Linked DNA regions of Drosophila melanogaster. The protein of the gene in region 1 interacts with the protein of each later gene in a pairwise test. Each region holds a gene or a part of one and is shown on either strand. Other genes may lie near its edges.

Region 1 (9,883 bases):
GTAGAAATCAGTAATTTTTTAAGTTCTGTGATCTTTTTGGGCCAAGTTCTTATTAAAACTCCTCTCAAACATATCGAATTTTTGCCAAAACTACTTATGTATATTCTGCTCATATTCTAAACCAACCAGCAAGGGCATCAAAATACTATGGTACAACCTGCACATTTATAAGCTAATAAAATAAGTAAGAGAACAAGGACTTACCTCGTGTAGCTTCTCCTCGGCTGCGCGCCGACGCTTCAGCTCCTTGTCTCGCATGATTTTCTCGCGCAGTTGCTTCTGCTTCTCAATCTCAAGGCGATAGTTGCGGGTCTCCTCGTCCTCGTCGCTGGGCTGCATTCAAAATGTGATATTAATTCAGAGCCAGAGCTGACATTGCATCACTGATTCCACTTACCATACTGCGACTGCCTGTTTCGGAGGGTCGGCCGCGCGGCTCGCCAGAGAATGGATTCCGGGCAGTGCCTCCTCCGGCCGAGCCACTCCTTCGTCGCTTGGGGGGCGCAGCTCCGCTGGATGCTGATCCGCCCGCTCCTTGAGCACTGGCGGTGCTTGCTGCGCCACGATTCTCGTCTCGATCCCGACTCGATGCCCGTCGGAATCCACGGTTTCCAGCCGCCCGATTGGCGCCATATCGTTCACGATCTCGCTCCCGATCCCTTTCACGATCCCTCTCGCGCTCCCGCTCCCGCTCGCGTTCTCTTTCCACGCGCTTAACGGGAGAGTAACTGCGACCACGAGAGCGACTGCGGCTACGTGTTCGCCTCCGTTCGCCTGCCTGGCCGGACGAGGCGGCTCCGGTGGAGGAGCCCGACGACGGTGGCGAGCGTTCCATGCGTCGCTTCTCAATGTACTGCCGATTCTTGTTGATGAACTCCACCTGCTGGCGCAGCAACTCGGCCTCGCTGTTAATGGCGGGCATAAAGTGTGTCTCCTTGATGAACTTGTTGGTAGCCGCTTCGACGCCGCCCTTGAAATTCGGATTGATGAGCACCTTGCTGACCCGGGGCACCGATGATGAGCCCTGCTGCTGCGGCGGTCCATTCGGCTGTTGAGGGGGCTGGCCAGGATTGACGGCCTGCTGTAGGGGATTGCCCGCCTGCTGCGGTGCTGGCTGCTGCTGTGGCGGCTGCTGCGATTGCTGTTGCTGGGGCGGCGGTCCTCGCATTCCCATGCCATTGGCATAGTTCGGCGGTGCGCCGGGCATCATGTGCGGTGGCAGCGTTTGCAGTGGTGGTCGCTGCATGCGCGCATTGTCCCCCTGCGGTCGCCAGCCGTTGTGAGGCCGCATGAACTGCTGCGGATGCTGGGGTGGATGTCCCTGGTCGTAGCCGTACGATGGCGGGGCATTCCGATACAGCGGCGGACGCATGCCCGACTGTTGCTGGTGCGGCGACTGGTGTTGCTGATGCAAACCAGGTCCCGGTCCCGGACCCAGAAGTGCTCCATTGCGATAGCCACCCGGATTGGGCGCATATGCCAGCGGCGGTGGTTGCAGCAGACCCACACGCACCTGCTCGTGCGGATGCGGCAGCAGGTGGTGCAGCACGCCTCCGTTCGGATTGTGACTGTGGTGCATCATGTGCGAATGCGTGGGAGTGTGGAGGGGAGAGGCGGGAGCGCTGTGTGGCTGTTGTGTGTTGGTCGGTGCTTGTTGTGGTGACTGGTTGGGTGGCTGAGTTGCCGGGTACTGGCCTGGAATTGGAATGAATGTCGGATTGCTCAGTGTTTGCTGTTGTTGTTGATGAACTTGATGGCTGGGATGGGCTTGCGGTATGGACAGGGTGAGCGGGGTTACGGGAACGGTTAGTGGGAGAAGGCAGGCGGCGGTGGGAGCAGCACCCACTGGCGTGCTCATCAGAGCCAGGTGCTGCGGTGGTGGAGCATTACCCGGCATGCCATATCGCTGTGGCGGCGGTTGCATCCCGGCCATGCCCATGCGCTGCTGCTGTATGCCGAAACTTGGCGACGGATTGCGTAGCAGATGGTGGCGCGTTCCAATTCCACGCGGCGGCTTGCCCATCTGGCTCTGTTGCTGCTGCTGCTGCTGCTGCTGGCCATGCATGAAGCGTCCACCTCCGCCCACGCGGGGTTTATCTGCAATTAACAATTAATACACTCATTAGGTAAGGATTTGACAAGGAAGACTACCCCTCCCGTTGCACCCACCTCCATGGCCGTGGAGTCGCCGCTGCTGGTGCTGGTAGGGCGACATGTGTGCGTGCTCTTGCTGCTGCCTCAGATTGTTGTCAGATCGCTCGCTGGCCGTCTTGTAGTTGGTGCGCTCCTCGCGCTCTTCGTCGTCCTCTCGCGGATCTGAAATCACAGAGGCTGAGCTGGCGCTGGGCAGGCTCTCTTGGGATGAGGCCAGTAGCGAGCACAAGCCCAGTCCTCGTTCAGCCTCACTCTGACTGCCAGCGTTCTCAGCTTGTTCCTCGCTGTTGCCATTATTCTGAGTCGCCTCCTTTTCGGCGCAATCAGCTGGAGGCGCCTCCTCCTTAGCTTGCTGTTGTGGGGATTCCGAGCGACTGGCTGACACCAGTTCCTTCGCTGGCTCAGCTGCCACAGCCGCGTGGGCTGTGTCAACATGTTTCTCCACCTGAGCGACTAGAGGTTTCGCAGGAACAGGATCCGGAGCAGGAGATGAAGCTAGCTCTGGTTGCGCCCTTAAAGTTGGTGCTACCTCTGCGGTGGCCGTGGCTGCAACAGTGACTTCAGTCGCTGCAGTCGCATCTGCCTGCAATTGCTCCTTGTGCTTGCGCTCGTGCTGTCTAATCTGCTCCTGGGCCCACTCCTCGGCCTCGGCGCGCATCTGCTGCTTCACCTCGCTGGTGACATCCTTTTCGAGCTCTGTGCATGGAAGAAGGATATCCATCAGAAAACGATTCAACTATTGCAGTGCATATAGAACTCACCTTCGTCCGAGAGTAGCAACTCATCCTCATCGGCGCCGAGCAGAGCTTGGTCATCGATGTCATCGCCCAGCTCGTAGTTGAGCAGGTCATCGCTGCGGATGAGATGCAGTTAAGAAATCATTAATGGGTTAAGGAGAAAACCAAGGTGAGACTTTTCTATCCTTCGAGGTTCCATTGAAAAAAAAAAATATAATAACCACACGCACTCAAACACATACACAAGCACAGCCGGGGGGGCATTCACACACATTCGCACACATACGTACACACCTACGCAGCTTGAAAATGTTATACACATGCATCGCCAACCCCCCCGCCCCGACAATGCTTTTTGCATGCGATTTTCTCAGTGCCACCAATCGAACGCTGGCCAGGATTGTTGCCCAATCTTAGGTGGCCACCATTCATCACAGGGTCACCCACTTTTTCGCACCCACCACTTACTTAATGTCCGACATTTTTTCGCCAGGGCAGCTGTTGACACTCGGCGGCGCGCGTGTGTGGGTGTGTGTTTTAAAGTAGAACAGGGACTGTCTACGGACGCGGCGCGGTGTTTTATAACATTTTGAACAGCCGTTTTGCGATCGAATCGATCTGAGCAGTAACGCGCGCTTTTCCACTGAATAAGTAGGCACCCGAAAGGTATGCGAAAAGTTCGGGTCTTTTTCACACGCAGTATTTTTTTTGAGGGATGCAATTGGTATTAGTGGTGGCAAGTACAGCGATAGGTATGCGTTGCTATCGGTATATATCGATATCAATTTATACTACTTACCATACCATTGGTACTAACATTTACCATATTAGACACGGTAAAACAATTATTTTCTTATAACGCATTATACGCAATAGAAAGTGAGTAGCAGAAATATACTCACTCACTATATATATATTTGATCTCCAATGCTTACCGATGTGGCAATGCTGTCGCCTAACAGCACCAATTGGCCAGTGTTGCAGAGCGCACGAGTTTGATGTACAGTTTGAAATTTACCGATTTAAACATAGCAACATTGCGTCCATACGTTCTGATTCGAATTGAATTTCATGTTTACTTACATCCAACCACACACGAGAACACGACACAGAAACAAACAAAATAAACACAATGCTATCTAGCGAACACAAAGCAAGGATACTAGCGCTGACGGCCGAGCACTTCGACGAGCTGCACGCAATGTGGTCGCGAATGTTTGAGCCGCAAGCCTGCGAGGATTGTCTCGCCCGTCTTAAGGATCACGTACACACATTCTACACGGATCTCCGCAAGGAGACGAGCGACAAGGAGCAGGGTATACTCAACGACATAGCCGTTTTGCGCAACGAGGCCAGCGGGCTAAGGCGGCTGCTTCACAAAGCGGTGGACATTGGCGAGCGGCCGGACGATGTGCCGATGGAGATCTGGTACATTAAGCTGGAGAAATACATCGAACAACTGCGCAAAGAGCTGGTCAGCCGACGGGCAGAGATCAGGGAGCTACTCCATCAACAGCAGCAGCTCTGCGATGAGCTGGGCGAACAGCCGCTTTCACTTCTAGCTGATCCCCTGCCGCTGCCCGAGGAGATGGACCCCTTTCGGGAGCACCTAGCCCAGCTGCGCGATCAGCGAGTGCAGCGCCTCAGGGATATGGACGAGCTGCGCCAGAACATCAAACGAAACATAAAACTACTCGAACTTCAATTGCGAACGGACTCGGAAAAGCGGTTACTCAATGCGGATAACCATAAGCTTACTCCCTACGCCTACGTGCGCCTGCAAGAAATGGACAAAGAGTTCGCCGACCAGGTGCAGGATCTAATCGACCGCATCGACGAGATGCGCGGCAAGATTGAATGCCTCTGGCAGCGGCTCAGGATGACCGACGAATACGCCATGCGTCGTGTGCGCGAAGCCACGTCCTATAACCAGTGCACCTACGACATATTGCGCGAGGAGCTGGAGCGCTGCCAGGCGATGCGGCAGCAGAATCTGATTGCCTTCATCGAGCAGCTGCGCATTGAGATCAACGAGTGGTGGGATCTTTCACTGAAAAGCACCGAGGAGCGCAGGCGCTTCACCACCTACTACTGTGATACGCAGACCGAAGATGTTCTCGAGCAGTTCGAGAAGGAGCTGGACAACCTTAAGGAGTTCTACAACAGCAACAGGAAGATATTTGAGCTATACGCGAATCGAGGCGAGCTATGGACGCGCATGGAGGCCCTGGAGGCCAAGGCCAACGATCCAAATCGGTTCAACAATCGCGGTGGACAGCTGCTCAAGGAGGAGAAGGAGCGCAAGACTATCATGTCCCGTCTGCCCAAGATCGATCAACAAATCACCGAACTGGTGCAGGTCTACATGAGTGAAACGCACACGCCGTTCCTGGTGCACGGCGTGGATATACTGGAGCGCATGTCGGCGGACTGGGAGCGGCATCGACAGTCCAAAAAGCAGCCCTCCGCCCAGAAGAAGGATGGCAGCAATACGAGCGGCCAAATGAAGCCGCCAATGGTGCCTCTTACGCCCAATACGCAGAAGAGCAACCGGGGCATCCATGGATCCACATCCTCGTTGAAGAAGACGCCGACCAAGGCAAATGCCAGCACCACGGCAATGAGCACAGGGAATCTGCACAAGAGACGGCATCCACAGCATCACAACACCAATAGTCCACAGCCGGCAGCAGCGGCCAAGCGAAATCTAATCGCATCGCTGGAGTGCAACAATGCAAGTCGCAAGGTCTGTGTGAATGGGCAGAAGCTGCTCAAGTCGCCGCAGAGGAAGGTGCGCGTGCTGGAATACTCGGTGCGTCGGGGCAAGGGATCCGGCAGGCCGAGCACAGGGAGCAGGAATCCCCAGAAAATTCGTCCCATACCAAAAATCCATGTGCGTCCGCCGTCCGGCGAGGAGAACGAGAGTCCCGACGAGGAGGCGGTCGTGGCCATATAATGGAGCTAGACTCTAATCACATCCAATGGCAATCATTTCGGCAACTGATCTGTGTTCTATATCTATTACCTGTACTGAAGTATTTGGCTCGCAATTGCAGACTCATCGTATTTATATGTATACACATATGTATAGTGTTAGGGCTTTTCCTAGCGCAAAGACTATCTAAATTTACAACTTTAAAATTCTTTTAACTATTTTGCACTACCTGTGACGGCAAGAAGTAAATGAACAATTGTCCACATTTTAAATTTTTAGTCAGATAAAAACGCTTGTTTACATTATAAATTACTTGATTTCAATTTTACCAAAATATACATGTGTGGGAAGGGTTTTCTAAAGTCTGTGGGATGTTTACTAAGCGCATATAAGAGAATATAATACGTTTTTAAGGAGCAAAATAATTAAAATAGATATTTTAATTTGCTAATAAACCAAATAACGAATTTTAAATATTCAAAAAAGTGGCGTATGCTCCAGCCCTGGTTTTACCAGAAGTTACCGCCGCGTGGCAATGCTGTCCCACAACGCGGTGGCAACACTCTTGGCCGCCATTTCAATTTGAATTTACCGAAATTTCTGTCTAGCGTCATCGATTCATTCAGTTCGAAATTTCGTGCAGTGATGCACTCTAAATAAACCACTAAATAAATCCGCACATTCCCGAGCAATCCTGCCCAGCGTTGTGGGTCTGCGACACAACTGTCAAGTTAACTCAGATATGCTGGTTAAATAGTCCCCAAGTGAACACAACGAAAAAACAAAGCCAGTGAGCATTTACGCAAGAAAAGAAATTTTGAACAAAAAAAAAAAAACACAAATTTCACAACGAAAACGGAGAAAATGAACTCGCCGAGCGCCATTGCGGTGAAGGCCCAGATCCTGGAGATGACGGGCGAGCACGTGGATCAGTTGCACGCGATGTGGTCGCAGTTGTTCGAGGTCAAGACCTGCGGTGAGTTCCTCCTCCGGTTGAAGGACCATGCGAACAGCTTCTTCACGGATTTGCTCAATGAGTCGCGCGAAAAGCAGCAGGCGATCCTCAACGATATAGCCGCCTTGCGGGCAGAGGCCACCGACTTGACGCGCCTACTCCACGAGCCGCTGGACATTGGCGAGCGGCCGGAGTCCATGCCGCTGGTCGTCTGGGAGCTGAAGCTGGACAAAAGCATCGAGCACTTACGCGATCAGCTGGCCAGGCGGCGAGCGGAGATCTGTGAGCTTCTGCTGCAGCAGGAGCAGCTGTGCGAGGAACTGGGAGAGCTGCCTCTGCCACTGTTGGCGGATCCACTGCCGCTGCCCGAGGAGATGGACGCCTTTCGGAATCGCCTGGGCCAGCTACGCGATCAGCGAGTGCTGCGCCTCAAAGAGATGGACCAGCTGCGCCAGGCCATTAAGCACGACATGAAGCTGCTTGAGTGCCTGCCCCAGACGGACACCGAGGAGCGTCTGCTCAACCAGGTGGATCACTGCCTAACGCCGGAGACCTTCGAGCTCCTGCGCAACATGCAAAAGAACTTCGCCGACCAGGTGAAGGAGCTGAGGGAGCGCATCGACGATATGCGCGAAAAGATCCATGTGCTGTGGGACAGACTCCAGGAGACAGACGAGTATGCCATGCGTCGCGTGCGCGAGGCTACGACCTACACTCAACGCACCTACGATGTCCTGCGGGAGGAACTGCAGCGCTGCCAGGCCCTGCGACGCCAGAATCTGAAAACCTTCATCGAGCAGCTACGCATCGAGATCAAGGAGATGTGGGATCTCACACTTAAGAGCCAGCAGGAGCGCAAGCGCTTCTCGAACTACTACAACGACTGGTACAACGAAGATCTGCTGGAGCTCCACGAACTTGAGCTGGACGACCTCAAGACCTTCTACAACAAGAACAAGGAGATCTTCGATCTGTACGAAAGCCGTGCCGAACTCTGGTCGCGCATGGAGGCGCTGGAGGCCAAGGCGAGCGAGCCGAATCGCTTCAACAATCGTGGCGGCCAGTTGCTCAAGGAGGAGAAGGAGCGCAAGGCCATCACCTCCAAGCTGCCCAAGATTGAGCAGCAGATCACGGAACTGGTGCAGGCATACGAGGCGCAGGAGAACACACCCTTTCTGGTGCACGGCGAGAACATCCTGGAGCGGATGGCCGCCGATTGGGAGCGTCATCGCCAGGCCAAACAGCAGAGCTCGGCGCGCAAGAAGGCACCGCCATCGGCCAGCAAGATAATGCCACCGCCGGCAACGGGCTCGACAGCTCCACGCACGCCGCGCACGCTGCGCAACATGTCGACCCTTTCCAGCTCCACCATGTCGCTGCGCAAGACGCCGTCGCAGCAGCACCTCCGTCCACTAAACATCACCAAGAGTACGGGCAATCTGCACAAGCGCCTGAATCCGTCCGGCCTGCAGACGGGCCCCAAAACGCCCAACGCCAAGCGCAGCCTTATGAACACACTCAACTCGATGAAGGCGTCGCCAGCCAAGCACCTGCTCGCGCCCAGCCAGCAGCATAACCAGCTGAAGAGCACCAAGTCGCCGCTGAAACGTGTTCGCGTACTGGACAACACACTGCGACGCAGCGGCGGTATGGGCAGGCGCAGCATTGGAACGCGTTCCAGCAAGAAGGCGCGCACCAAGTCCAACGATCAGAACGCCCCACCCGACAGCAGTGACTACACAACGGACGAGAATCCCGAGCAGGGTGTCAGCTATGACGAATTTCAGCCGACCAGTCGCTCCTCGATGCTGCCGCGCCAGCGTCATCAATTGGCCGTGCCGCGAACTCGTCGTGCGGAAATGAATGCCAATCTGCCGGTGCCGCGGGAAAGCCTGATGATCGTGCAGCCGCGCAGACAGTTCTAGTTCCACTGGAGATTGACTAGCTTAACGCGTACCTACTACACTATTTCATAACAGTTGGAGTTTCTTGATGTATTTTAATTTTTTATTTTCTGTTTTACGTTTTCAGAATAAAATTTATGTGAGTTTTTTCGCTTGACCACAAGACTCGAGTGTATTTCACATTTCTTTCAGCATAATTCGTGTGTAAATTTCAGGAATTGGTTGTACATTTGTTAATAATTTTTTGCTAGTTTTCCACCAAAAAGAAATAGCTGTACATTTCGATGTTTTACTATGCTTTCACGATTTATTTGATCATCAACTAAATTTGTTAATTGTTAGAGGGATGGGGAGCTATTTGCACTTTAATTTTAATATACTAATATACAACTAAATTTGTCAATTGTTAGAGGGAGGGGGTGCTATTTGGACTTCAATTTTAATATACTAATATACAATTCAATTTGTCAATTGTTTGAGGGAGGGGGAGCTATGTGCAATTTAATTTTAATATACTAATATACAATCGCACTGATGCAAGCTTTATAAAAAGATTCCAACCGCCTACACTGTAGTAGAGCAGTTCTTATTTGACTATTAAATACATATTAACACATTAAAATGGGCGGCACGTGTGGTGCCTGCGCCAGTGATGAACCCTTCAATTGGCCAGAGCCCGGTGCGGTGCAACAGCTCCTCCCAATTCGGATACCGTTTATGTACAGAGGAAAGCTTAAGTCTACACTGGAATAGTTTGATGTTCGGGATGAGTTGGAGCCGTGTGAAGCCCAGGAGGAGCAGGAGCAGTAGCAGAATCACGCACTTCAGCATCGATAGCTATTTGCCCGCATCGCTTCCGCTCTGGCTGTGCTGGCTGCTTCCTCCTTGGTTGTACATGAGATGCGCTGTAGCGAAAACGACAGAGATGGAGTATGGTTATGACAAGGATGATGCTATTCCCTACATACCCATAACGGCCGGCGGAAAGTTAAAGGCGCCAAACGGAGCAGGCGTATTCACTGCCGTGGGTGTAAAGTTGGCTCCATCGAAGGTATTAGCTGGAGCTGCAGCTGTCGCATTGTATGTACCCGGCGAGTGAATGACGGTGGTCGACGATGTGCTCTCAGCACCGCCAGCTGCAGTCGCCGCAGCCGTCGCCGCCAGCTGGGGATCGAGTTCATTTGGATACCGTGCCGGC
Region 2 (12,499 bases), on another chromosome or scaffold:
CACGATCGGCTAGAATCTTTTTGATGTTCTCGGCATCCTTGTCCGGCGAGAAACTGCCCTTTCCAGGAGGACCCCTAGCGGCACGACCAGCATTGCCACCTCCACCACCACCACCACCTTCAGCACCGCACTTTTTGGCGCAACGCTTCATGACTTCGTCCTCGAACTCACGCAGTAGCGCCACCTCCTTACCCAAGTCGTCGATCTTCTTCTGCAGGTAGGGTATATCGTTGCTCTTTTCCGGATCGACTTTAATGCTATCCATCTTGCAGCGCTTCGATTGTTTTTCGAGCAGCCGCTTTAGATTGGCATTTTCAGCCTCCAGGATGTCGTGTGCCTTGTTCATGTCGTCAATGGCCGCCTGCAGACCGTTCAGTTCCTTCTCGTCCTGCGGAGTTATCTTGTTGTCATCGGCCAGTTGCTTGATTTTCTTTTTTAGAGCCTTGCTCTTGTCGGGGTCATAGCGCTGGTCCATAATCCGCTTGATCTCGGCGGTCTCCTGGTTGGCTGTCCTCAATTTATCATCAGAATCGGCCAGTTTCTTCTTTAGAATATTATTCTTGATCATCAGATCCTGCATGCGACCAATTGTGTCGTCCGCGGCATTTATTAAACTGTCGCCCACCACTAAATTACTGCCGTACTCATCCTCAGGACCCAATGGAGCAGATCTAGCGGTAGGCTCGGCACCACGGTCCTTCTTTATCGGTGAGTTGCAGGCCACCAGGTCAGCCACGAACTGTGACTTCATATCTTCGTTTGCTGACCATGATCTGTCGTCAACTGTGGATGGATACCTCTTAAGTTTAACACACGCATCGACACACTCAAATTCGTATGTCTCATTGTTGAAGGGTACGTGAAAGAACTCTTTTTGTGTGGAGAACGCCATGAATTCGCCTAGTGCTTAACACAAAAACAACTAATCTATCATGCGAATTTACAACACTATTTAAAAATGAGGGTTGAGGGTCGGTTCGGAAAGTGATCAACAGAATATGTATGGGTCCGACATGTATTGGATCACAAAATAATCTATTGCTAGGCACGTAAAAATTTACATATTTGTCTGTCAGTCGGGCCAGTTGTTAACTGCCTACTAGACTACAATTAGTTAACAGTTCTCTTAGTCGACTAAAATTATTCAAGGCCCTGTGCTCTGCGCTCCGCCAGCGATTCGTCCACGGAATTCATTGAAGAGAAGCCACACGGTTGCATCGTCATGCTGGCTGTGCCGGAACTTATCGTGCGTAGGGCACTCGAGTAGCCGGAGAGTTCTGCCAAAGGAGCATTCACCAGAATCATCTAAAAAAATACCTTTTAATGTCTTTCAAAGTTATAAACTTAACCAGTGGTTACCTTATTTCTTTCGCCTTTGGGTAAGACATCGTTAATCAGGGCTCGTCGCCGTGAAAGATCCGCCATAATTCCGGAAATACGTTCGCTAGGCGCCACAATTTGAAGGGCCATAATGGGTTCCAACAGCCTGGTGCCACTCGTGCTCAGTAGCTGTGAGTTTATATACAAAATGTAAACGAGTTGCAAGAAATAATACGATCTTAGTTACCTTTTGCACACACTGAGCTGCAGTGGCCATGACAAAAGAATCAGCAGTGCCGCGTCCAATAGTTGCGTTATGCAGACGAATCTGAGTCTCCACAACCTGCCCACCAACGCGAGGTCCTCGCTCTAGAGCGCTGATGGAGCCCTTCCGCAGAACTTGAAGAATTCGTGGACGCAATGTGTTGAGATTTGGCAGGTTATCTGGTGACTTATCTAAACTTTTGTGGAAAAACACATTTAAGTTTGATTTCGTAGAAATTTCATAGTATTCCAAATCACCTGAACAACTCGGCTTGATTCTTGACAACCTCCAGTGTTATACTGACGCTCTGCTTGCTGCCGGCTATTTCCTTTTCCACACTTAGCGTGGTTAACGCAGGTGCTTCAATTGTCTCCTTGTACGCAATTTGTAGAGGACCAAGGTCAACGTCGATTTTGTACTCGCTCAGGATGCGCGACTTGATGATGTCCATGTGCAACTCGCCCATGCCACCGAGTACTGTCTGTCCAGTAACTGAATCGTAGCTCACACGCAGACTAGGATCCTCCCGTTGCAGCTGTTTAAGTGCCTGCTCCATGGCCGTTTGCGAGGATACACTGGGAGGCTCGATCGAACAGAAGTACACGGCATCTGGTATTTGCGGGTCAATAGCAAACAGCTCGTCTGACTCATCCAATTCGTCATCTTCCTCGACTTTGGCCGCAGTATTGCCCAGGCTTTGTTTATATCGCTTTTGTGCATTCTTCAGCGCAGACTGACTTGAGGTCAGCAAATCTCCTGTCACCGTGGACTAAAAAATGGTATTTAATCTTGTTTAATTATCTATATTGGGTGCAGCTTACCTTCAGACCTGCACATATTACCACATCGCCCGACTGCACAGCGCTCACCTCTCGGTATTCGTCGGCCAATGGCTCATACAGCTTAGACACAACTTCAGCCTGTCCGCGAGCGGATATCAGACGCATGCCTCGTTTTATTTCGCCTCTCAAAATCCTAACTAGGGTTAATGGACCACGTTGCTTATCGTGTACAATTTTGAACACCTTGCCAGCCACTTCTGTTCTGTTAACCACTTCAACTTAATATGAAACATTTACTTTTTCTCGAATAAGTACTCACCCAAAGCAGTCGTAGATTTGGTTTCGTTCCTCGGGGGCAGGCAGGTAAGCATTGACAGCGTCCATTAAACGCTGTATGCCCACATTTTTGTAGGCGGAGCCCAGCAATACGGGCACTACCTTCTGCTGGGTGGTTGCCCGTCGAAGAGCTCTTTCGATCAATGCATTGTCCACATTGTCAAAGCTTTCTGTGCTGATAACCACATCGGCCAATTCGTCATCTAGTCCCGACAGTTGATCAATCAGTTCATTCCGTTTTTCCTGCAGCAGGCGCAAATCATCAGAGGGCTCCAGTTTTACATTTCTGTAACTGCGGCCCAAGTCCTTTTGCTGCCAGCTTAGTCGCTCCAGGGTGATCACGTCATTGATGGCTAAAATTGGCGGAGCTTAGATAAGCTTTCAAAAGAGTGTAGACAGAGCTTACCTAAAACCCCATCTTCGTTTTTCACGGGGTACTGTAGGCAAACGGGCTGCGTTTCTAGCTTATCCTTCAGATCGCTAACGCACTTTTCAAAGTCCGCATCAGGACGATCCATCTTGTTGACGAATATGAGACGTGGCAATTTGTGCTTGTCCGCCTGCGACCACACGGTGACCGTTTGGGCCTCCACGCCAGCTGTGCCATCCAGAACAACGACCACACCATCCACGGCATACAGAGATTGCTCAACCTCCATGGTAAAGTCAATGTGTCCGGGTGTGTCCAATAGGTTGATGCTGGATTAAATGGTGTCAGGAGTTACGGGTAAGCGAAGTAGCAAACGAAACTCCTACCGGTGATCATTCCACGAAAATGTTACTGCCGAGCTGCAGATCGTTATGCCCCGTTCGCGCTCCTGGGTTAGGTAATCAGTGACCGTGTTGCCGCGATGCACTTCACCCAAAGCTCTGGTCTTGCCCGCATAGAACAGCATGCGTTCCGTTGTCGTTGTTTTGCCTGAAACAGATTCATTGACAAAGTAATGTTAAGTAGTATTTAAATTTGCAGTGCTCCTACTCACCTGCATCGATATGCGCCAGAATGCCTATGTTCCTGATCTTGCTGCTATAGCTACGCTTCCAGATTTGATTGGAAAGATGCCATAGCCACCTGTTGCTTTGTTTTGGACCGCTTTGCCATGCATATTTCAGCATTTTCATTAATAAATGAATAAAAATGGAACCAAACTGCCAAATTTAACCACTTTTATCAGCTGTTTATTTTTTATAGTTATCGATAAGTGGCGCTAACAGCTGTCTCTCGCAATCGAATATTTACGACTTCGTGATCAAAGAGGTCACAAAAAGAGAAATTGTTAAGTTCATTTGTTAATTACCTTTTTTAAGAATATAAAATAAATTGTAAATTAATTGCAATATTGTGCTTATTAAACATAATCTTAAGAATAGATTGCAACATGTCGAAACGACCTCGACGCGCGGCATCCACAAAAAAGATAGTAATTGAAATCTCCGACTCAGATGAGGAAGTGAATCTTACGGCAGACGACGATTACAGGCCGGAAGAAACCAAGAGTCGCATAATAGATCGCGCTGCAGATGCGCAGACCGTCGTGTAAGTCATACCCTTATTATCCTGTAAAGAATAATATATTTACCCGATATCCTTCCAGGACCAAACGCCAGCGGTTCCCAACATCCAAAAAAACAGCTGCTGAGGGACCAGCTCCCAAGAAAAAGCGGGGCGACAAAGAAAAGGCGGACGAGAATGCTTGTCCCAATGAGAACAATCCGGAATCGGTAGTCCAGGACACACCTTCAACTTCAAACCAACGGAATGGAGCCGTAGGCACTGAACACAATTCCGAAGCTCCGGCTCCTAAGAGAAAACGCGCCAGAAAGGATAAGGAGGACTTGAAAACGGCAGCCAATGAGACTAATCCTGAGAAGGGGGACGTTGTGCCCTCAACAGCAGTGACACAACCAAACGATATCGTAGCCAGCTCCTCACACAACAAGTCTTCCACTGGACGCAGTTCCTTCTGGGAGCGACGAAAGGTGTGGAACATCGACGAGCTCCTGGCCGAAACGGAGAGCATACAACCGCAGGCAGCTCGAAATATTGTAAAGCTCTTCGAGGATGAAAATACCATACCTTTTATTTGCAGGTACGCTATAATTGATATATTTATCTTGGCATTGATATATTTATATTGGCATTGTTTCCTGACAGGTACCGTCGAGATCTGGTGGATCACATCGCTCCAGATCGCCTTAGAGATATTCGGAACACGTACACAGAGATCGTCGATCTGCGGAAAAGAGCTGAGAATATTATTGGTAAATTGCAGCGTGAAAACATCATGACTCCGGAAATAAGAGAGGAGCTAATGTGCGCCAAGTCCAACGAAGAACTGGAGTTCCTTTATGCCCCCTATAAGCCGGCCAGTAAGGGCACTTTGGCGGAACGCGCCAAAGCTTTGGGCTTGCAGGTGTACGCCGATTGTTTACTGTACGGCTCAGCACCTAAGGTCAACCTTTCTGAAATTGTGGACCGCCGAAATGAGGCTTTAGCTACGGAGGCACTTGTGATGTCTGGAATCTGCCAAATTATTATTCACAACATCAGCAAAAACACAAATGTTTTGGAGGAAATACGCAGATTGTAAGCTCTTGTACCTAACTAGGAAGTTTCTATTGAAATTATTTGCTATATCGTTCTAGGCAAAACGTGCACCGGGTATTCCTCAAGTGCAGCAAGACCAAGGAGGCGAAATCGTCTAAATCTAGTTCTTCTAGTAAAGCAAGCTCCAGTAAAGGATCCAACCAAAATGCAGATAAGAAATTGGATAGCTCAAAGTTTGAGAATTATTTCAACTTCCAGGGTGATGTTAAAACTATAAAACCTTATCAAATGTTAGCCATCAATCGTGGGGAGAAGCACAAATGGCTTTCTGTCAAGATAGAAACGAACGATTACCTTAAAAGAGATCTGATGCGCTATATAACCGATCAGTACATGAACCAAGGCTTGCAATATCCATTAAGAAGGGAGGTGTTCACAAAATCCTTAGAGGAGTGCTACGCGAAGAAGTGTAAGATATGGAATATATTAAGACCCCCATATGATATGTTAATTAATTACTTATTACAGTGCAGCCCTTGATGTGCAGGCAGATTCGAGCGGCTTTAAAAGAAAAAGGCACAAAGGCAGCCATCGATGTGTTTGCCAAGAACCTGAAGCAACTACTGTTGATATCCCCCTTGAAAGGCGAACGCATTTTGGGCATAGATCCGGGTTTTATAAATGGATGCAAGCTGGCACTTATATCCGAGACTGCTGATGTGCTGTACACTGGTGTTATTTACCCTCATGGTGCCATGTCAAACAAGCGGGCTGCCGAACAGAAATTGGTTCAGCTTCTTTCAGATCATAAGTATATATATATTTTGAATTCGATTTGCAAAGATAGTTATTAATATGTCTTTTTTGCCTTTCCCAAAAGCTGTAAAATTATTGGCCTGGGCAATGGTACTGCCTGTCGCGAAACTGAGCACTGGCTAACTGGTATGTTTCATGCCGGCGTTCTGGACAGCAGGATCATTCGCTACAGCATCGTTAACGAGAATGGAGCATCTATTTACTCCTGCAGCAATGTGGCCGCCAAGGAGTTTCCCAAAATGGATACAAACGAAAGGAGCGCAGGTTTGGACGAAGATCAAATTAAAAGCAACACAAACAAACATATTTTGTATAGTGTCCATAGCGCGTCGTTTGAATGATCCATTGAGTGAATATGTTAAAATAGAGCCCCGTCACCTGGGGGTTGGTATGTACCAGCACGATGTTCCCGAGAAGATTTTGACGGCATCGCTGAATGACGTTGTGTCCGAGTGTGTCAGTTATGTTGGCGTTGATCTCAACACAGCCAGTCTGAGTGTACTCAAGTATGTGTGATTAAGGGTCAAATAAGTTATATATTTTTAATATTCTCCACCATATAGGCACATTGCTGGTCTGTCGGAAAAGAAAGCGGAAAAGATCATTGAGCATCGTACGCAGAAAGGACCATTCAAGACACGGAAGGATCTGCTCTCCGTGCGAAGCATAGGTGAGAAATCGTTTGTCCAGTGCGCCGGTTTTGTGCGCATCGAACCCCGAAGCGTTGGAGGACAACTACAGAATCCATTAGATTGCACTTGGGTGCATCCTGAGAGCTACAACGTTGTGGAAAGGTAAGTCCAATATTCAATTGACTTCATTAACCAATAATAATGAGACTTTATTCCGCCTGATTCATCGCAAGCCTGGCCTTTTCATCCGCTGCCCTCACTAACAAGGAGGTGTCACTAGGTGTCACAATGTCACTTTCGTGTTGCGTGATGCCAGCTATGTTCTTTGGACAATCGTCGTCAAAATTCTTAAGATTTGTAACATCCTCGCTAGATTCCATTTGACACCAGCACGGAAGGTACGGCTTCAAGGGATCCTTCTTGTCGCAACGCTTGCAGGTGCAGTTCTCCATGCCGGCACTCATAAAAGTCCGGAAGTCCGTCTCCTGACTCAAAAGCCCCAGATAGTCCTCTATAGAGTGCTCTTTCATAGGGTCCATCAGCTCCGCCCACGTCTTTAGCTTCACGATCACGCCAAAGAAATACGTGTTTAAGTCCTCGATTATTTGCAGCACCGAATCTAGCTCTTTCAAGAATGTACTTCCTAAAGACCGGTCCAACCTGGCTACGCGTTGATCTAGCTCCTTTTTCGACTCACTCATGTCCAGGTATAAATTGCTCAAATCGGTGCTAAAAAGTTTTAAATTAGCAGTGGCTGTGTATTTTTAATAGACTTACTTTGACTGATTGACGATATTGTAGGCTCTCTGAAACTCGCAAAGGGCCCGCTCTTCGGTCATCCGGCTTATGTACTCGGGATAGGTCTTAGTGCATCCGGTCGAGCTGGCTAAAATGCGATAACGCACTCCATGGTAACGCATCTCCTTAACCCTCTCAATCTGAAATGGTTTGGCCTGCTCCAGCTCATTCTTCAGGGCCTTCATTTTCTGGTCAACTACTAGAGTTTGCTCGTGCACACACTGCTCAAGCTTAAAATCGTAGCGGGAGTAGATATTCTCACAATGCTTGAAGGTTGGCTTCAGCAAATGGATGGGAATGGTCGATCCCCGGCACGGTGGCGGAAGCGGACGACGCTTGTACCGCTCCGGCGGATACTCCCAGCAAACTCCAAAGCGGGTTTGATCCTGCACATTGAGCGGATGCTGCCAGCAGGGCTTGTATTTCGGCTTATCGTTGTGGCCGTAGAATGCTACCTTTCCACATGCAACATATCGAAGCTTGGCTGGCGGCACAATTGGAGGATAATGCCAGCGCTCCGCATATTCCTGCTTTAGCTTGGCAATCATTATAATGGAAAATTTGAAAACTTAACTCTAAAACCAAATACTTTTTGTGCTTTCAGTATTGTCGGAGAATGTGACTTAAAGCTGTCGGATGTGGGCAAGGCTGCCTTTATAGCTAGCATCAAGCAGTTTGCCTCATCCCAGCCTAATCTCGATCGCATTGCCAAGCAGCACAAGCTGCCCATGGAGCGAGTAAGTGCCACTCAATCTATACTAAACAGGCCTATTGCAATGTTCAAATAATTTAAAATAAATTTCCTTTCAGTTGGAGTTCCTGTTGGTTGCCCTGCAGCGCGAATTACTTCAGGATTATCGAGCAGATCTGGACAAGAGGCCACTGTTCAAACAAGGTCTAACTAGGCTGGATGATCTTAGCATGGGCGAGGTGGTCACTGGCAAGTGGAGACTATGATAGTCATTTCATATATGTACTTATTGAAACTATTCCGACACACAGGTGCCGTGACCAACGTAACCCAGTTTGGCGCCTTCGTGGACGTTGGAGTGGAGCGCAATGGCCTCATACACAACAGTAACATGAATAATTCGCAGCTGAGCGTTGGCGATCGCATTGTGGCATCGGTGGTAAAGGTGGATCTGAAGCGACGCCAGTTGGAATTACGTTTGGAAAATATGCTGATGGAGACGGATACCTCGTTTAAGTTCAAGGCGGAGGATTAGACAAACTGCAGGGATTTAATGCTTTCGGAAGTATTTAATGATTCATATCGTAATTGTTTGGTTGCTCACACGAGCATTCATATATACTATATATAGTTCATATATATATTTATATATATGTGTATATGCATAGTATAACGGCTTTCCTAAGTTTAATCAAAGCTTATCAGTTAGTAATAAATGTTCACATAAAAATCACCGTCTCCACGTTCGTCTTCTTGTTTCCCTTCTCGCCACAAGTTGGCAAGTTGTCTTAAATGAATTGTTATCGAAAGGGTATTGCTTTAGAAACTAAGTGATGCCCTCTTAAGCCAGTTAAAATAAATATACAATATGCATACATTTAGGCGCTTGGTTTGCAGCAGGCAAGTTGCTTTCACTTTTAGTTAGTTTGTATTTTCGAATTTATTGCCGTTTCAGTAGAATTGTTAAAAATTATTATAAACAATGTTATATAGTCTGCATTTACATAATTACACAATACCATAATCATAATATATTCAAAAATATATGATGCATTTAATTTTATTTTTTCCTCCATCTCTCTTTACCCCGTAATGGATATTTAATTTCATATTCTAGCTACATGGACATGTCGCGTAATCAACCGATAGTTGTTTAAATAAATATATTAATCCGTACATAATATTGGAGTAACTGTTCCTACACAGTTAAATGTGATAATGTATCGCAAAAGACCAAAAACAAGTTGTACACGGTATGGTAGTAATTGCTTAAGCTTAATGCTAATGCGCTTGTCCTCTTCTCAATTCTCATTTCGTTATTGTTACTGCCGATGTTCTCCATCTTGTGGTTGTGTAGAGATATTGTTCATTAATTAATAATTTATTTTTATCATTTATAATGATAGCATAGGTAATGATGTAAGTATTGTTTATCAACTCTTGTAATAATAAGTCTATGTGTATAAGCAGTTTTCATTCTCGTTCCTAAACAGCCGTCCAGCAGAATCTTTGGCGGAGCAAATATGAACGATAATTCAAATTCGAATCGATCTGACTGTGTAGCTTTAAATCAGGTGAAACCGATCTCGAATACCCTCATTCTGGATAAGTAGCATGGTAAATATAAAATCAACTGCACGAATTCGAGATAATCCTCTGGTTGCCGAGATTATGCCGATGTCTTCTGATGAACGACCTTTAAACGTAAAATTCTCCCTCGTTAATTATCGCATTGGTAGTCTAATTGTCTCAAATGATCTCTTTCTCGCAACCCCTGATGGGGTTTTAACTGACTGAAAGTGCACGAATTCCGAATTTCTGTGGCAGACACGGCACAGCCGCAACGCTTGAGTGTAAGTGGGTGGGTGGTGGCGTGGCGCGAGTGGTGCTGAGTATGCGAGTGGGTGAGTGGTTCAGTGGTTCTGTGTGGATCTGATCTGTTTATGTTCCCGTCGCAGGCAGCTTGGCATTTTGGAGTATTCTATTCAAATTCGTTCAATCGCCTGCTTCACTGGTGGGGAGAGAAAAGATAGTTACACGCATAAGTCGAAGTTGCTGATAGGTTCAATGTGGGCATGGCACTTACCGATAGCCAAGAGGCGGGGATTGTGATGTAGGTGTGTGTTGGTTATGCGAGTTTTGAAATGATCGAAATCAAGAGCGAAATAAAACGTAATTATTTCTTTTTCTTCTCTTTTCTGCAAGTGTAGAACAATAAGCGAGGTTAGCAATCGTGGATTGAAAACAAAAAACGGGTTGTCGGATGGTGGGAATTCGTTTTGGGATCGCACTAAGCCAAGCTAGACACTGAAGAGTTAACAATTAACATTGAGTTTTGGCCTCGGCCTGCTCACATTTAATAAGACAGGTGATCGGGTCGATCAGTACGGGTCAGGGCATTTACAAGGAGCACCTCTTGGAGCGGATCACTAGCCTCTGAGTTGTGGTGCTTCGTGTGCTGTGGCTGATGTGGCTAAATCTTGGCAAGAGACTAAGTTGCTTAATGGCTTTTCGAATGGATCAAGTGCCGCCAGAGTGGGCAACAGCAGCAGAAGACATCGAACCATCTGTAAGATTGAAGAATTCTTCCATTTGGGTTTTGCTTTTCACATTTCACTTGCATTTGGGTGGAACGTAGCATTTGAACGCATTTGAACGGGAAAACGGAATGGCAACGGGCAACGAGTAACGGCAACTGCTTTGGGTTCACCTAGGGCTCGGGGTCACCAAATGTCGTCGGGTTAACATGAGTCATATATGGGTACATCGGTGAAATCATCAGCAACTTGTGTACAGTGTGTGGGTGTGGGATGGCTTAATTGATTCGTCTACTTAAATTTTATATCTATCCGTTGGATGTGTGCTGGTTTGTAAAACTGGTATAATCCTTTTTTCTTTGTGAGTTATTATGTTGTTGCATGTATATTTGGAATGCCGGTAGCTTAGGCTTAAACGTAAACGTTTGCTACTAGTGAACCACATTTGTGTTTTCTACATTTCTTTGTTTAATTTCGTTTCTAAATATATTCTTTGGTTTGTATACATTTAACGCCAAAACTTTGGATACTAGTGCTACAAAAAACTGCTTTCTATAGTTAACCATTTCAATCTTGACTCTAAATCGTATGAAACGGTCGACCGTTTGGTTTTCTAAATTCCTAATTATATCAATTACGAATTGTTCATTGAGTTTTCACAGCATGTTGTGTGGTTGTGGTTGCATCCAAAATAAAACCATTTTCACATAAGAACTAATTACATTAGGGGTCTCCGTCTCCTTTTTTCCTTTTAATTGCCTACGCGCAACACTTAAGTCTGAATTCAGTTATTGTTATACGTATCGTAGTTAAAACTATTCAAAATTAAAGCTTGTATATGTGGGGATGTGGTAATATGATGCCAGCAAAATGCCAAACAAAAAGAACGCACACGAAATATATTTACACATAGAAAGGATTAAGGAATAACAGTGAGCACAGTACAATAATGCCAGCAACACAACAGAACACCGCAGCAAACTGAGTCCCAGAAGATCTTGCGCCAGGCCAAATTGGTTGACACCGAGATTCTGGGCGGACTGCGGAACGAACAACACAACAGTAATGAAATATTGGGAAAGCAGCTCAACAAAAAATTAACAACGAAAGCGGGAAGAACAGAAAAACATATAGCTAAGGACAAGAATAGAATGTAACGAATCGATCGGAGCGATCGCTTAAACCACACAAGCTGAGAAAACTCCCATTACGCGTCAGCCAATGTCCTGCTGCACATGGGCGGAGGACGAGGAGCTGCTGCCGCTAGGGCGTTGCTGCTGACTGTACCTGTTCGTTGGCTGTTGCTGCTGCTGCTCCTTCTGCTGATCCTTCTGGTTAATACTTTGCGGCGTGGGTGGCGTGCAGGCGGTGGTGCCCACTGGGAATGTGTCGGCCTCTTCCTCGTGCGACGCTGGAGAGGGCTGCTGCGCCTGCAGCTCCAGCTGCTGCTGATCAGCCAGCATCTTGGCGCTCAAAATGCTCACATAAGTGCGGTAGCGACGAAGCTAAAAATAATAGGTATTATAGGTTCGATTCATTAGGAAAGGGATGTGGTAAAAGCTTACTTCATACTGCAAGTAGCTCTCCTTTTCCTTGTAGTTCTGCAGAGCCAAGCCCTTGCTGGGAATAGGACCCTTCTTGTGCTCGTTAAGCTCCTGATCCAACTGCGCCAGCTGCACCTCGTGCGAGTCCAACTGCTCTTTCTGTAATGCACGAATAATAATATTAACGAACCGCACATGAAGTGACTACCTTCTTGCACTCACCAGCATCA

Evidence for each region.
Region 2: the proteins of sofe (region 1) and CG31156 interact in a two-hybrid assay, tested with the Drosophila melanogaster proteins (one large-scale study listed by BioGRID).

What each region holds. Positions count from the first base shown.
Region 1 is NC_004354.4:10,851,412-10,861,294, reverse strand, and holds sofe (sister of feo), read left to right. Parts: upstream 1-3,881; 5' UTR 3,882-4,023; coding exon 4,024-5,847; 3' UTR 5,848-6,295; downstream 6,296-9,883. Other genes in the region: CG2186 (uncharacterized protein), read right to left, coding at 205-333, 398-2,097, 2,170-2,850, 2,916-3,007, 3,360-3,373; feo (fascetto), read left to right, coding at 6,691-8,706; CG2202 (uncharacterized protein), read right to left, coding at 9,523-9,590, 9,654-9,883.
Region 2 is NT_033777.3:22,605,084-22,617,582, reverse strand, and holds CG31156 (uncharacterized protein), read left to right. Parts: upstream 1-3,926; 5' UTR 3,927-4,082; coding exon 4,083-4,240; intron 4,241-4,298; coding exon 4,299-4,793; intron 4,794-4,858; coding exon 4,859-5,290; intron 5,291-5,349; coding exon 5,350-5,720; intron 5,721-5,779; coding exon 5,780-6,062; intron 6,063-6,131; coding exon 6,132-6,331; intron 6,332-6,383; coding exon 6,384-6,573; intron 6,574-6,630; coding exon 6,631-6,861; intron 6,862-6,867; exon of another isoform or gene 6,868-6,908; coding exon of another isoform or gene 6,909-7,428; intron 7,429-7,476; coding exon of another isoform or gene 7,477-8,045; exon of another isoform or gene 8,046-8,098; intron 8,099-8,101; coding exon 8,102-8,234; intron 8,235-8,307; coding exon 8,308-8,437; intron 8,438-8,499; coding exon 8,500-8,723; 3' UTR 8,724-8,913; downstream 8,914-12,499. Other genes in the region: CG31161 (uncharacterized protein), read right to left, coding at 1-892; mRRF2 (mitochondrial ribosome recycling factor 2), read right to left, coding at 1,141-1,305, 1,360-1,509, 1,568-1,781, 1,843-2,354, 2,407-2,629, 2,687-3,056, 3,110-3,402, 3,460-3,622 and 1 more; CG13843 (uncharacterized protein), read right to left, coding at 6,909-7,428, 7,477-8,045; Efa6 (exchange factor for Arf 6), read right to left, coding at 10,365-10,386, 12,013-12,230, 12,291-12,428, 12,492-12,499.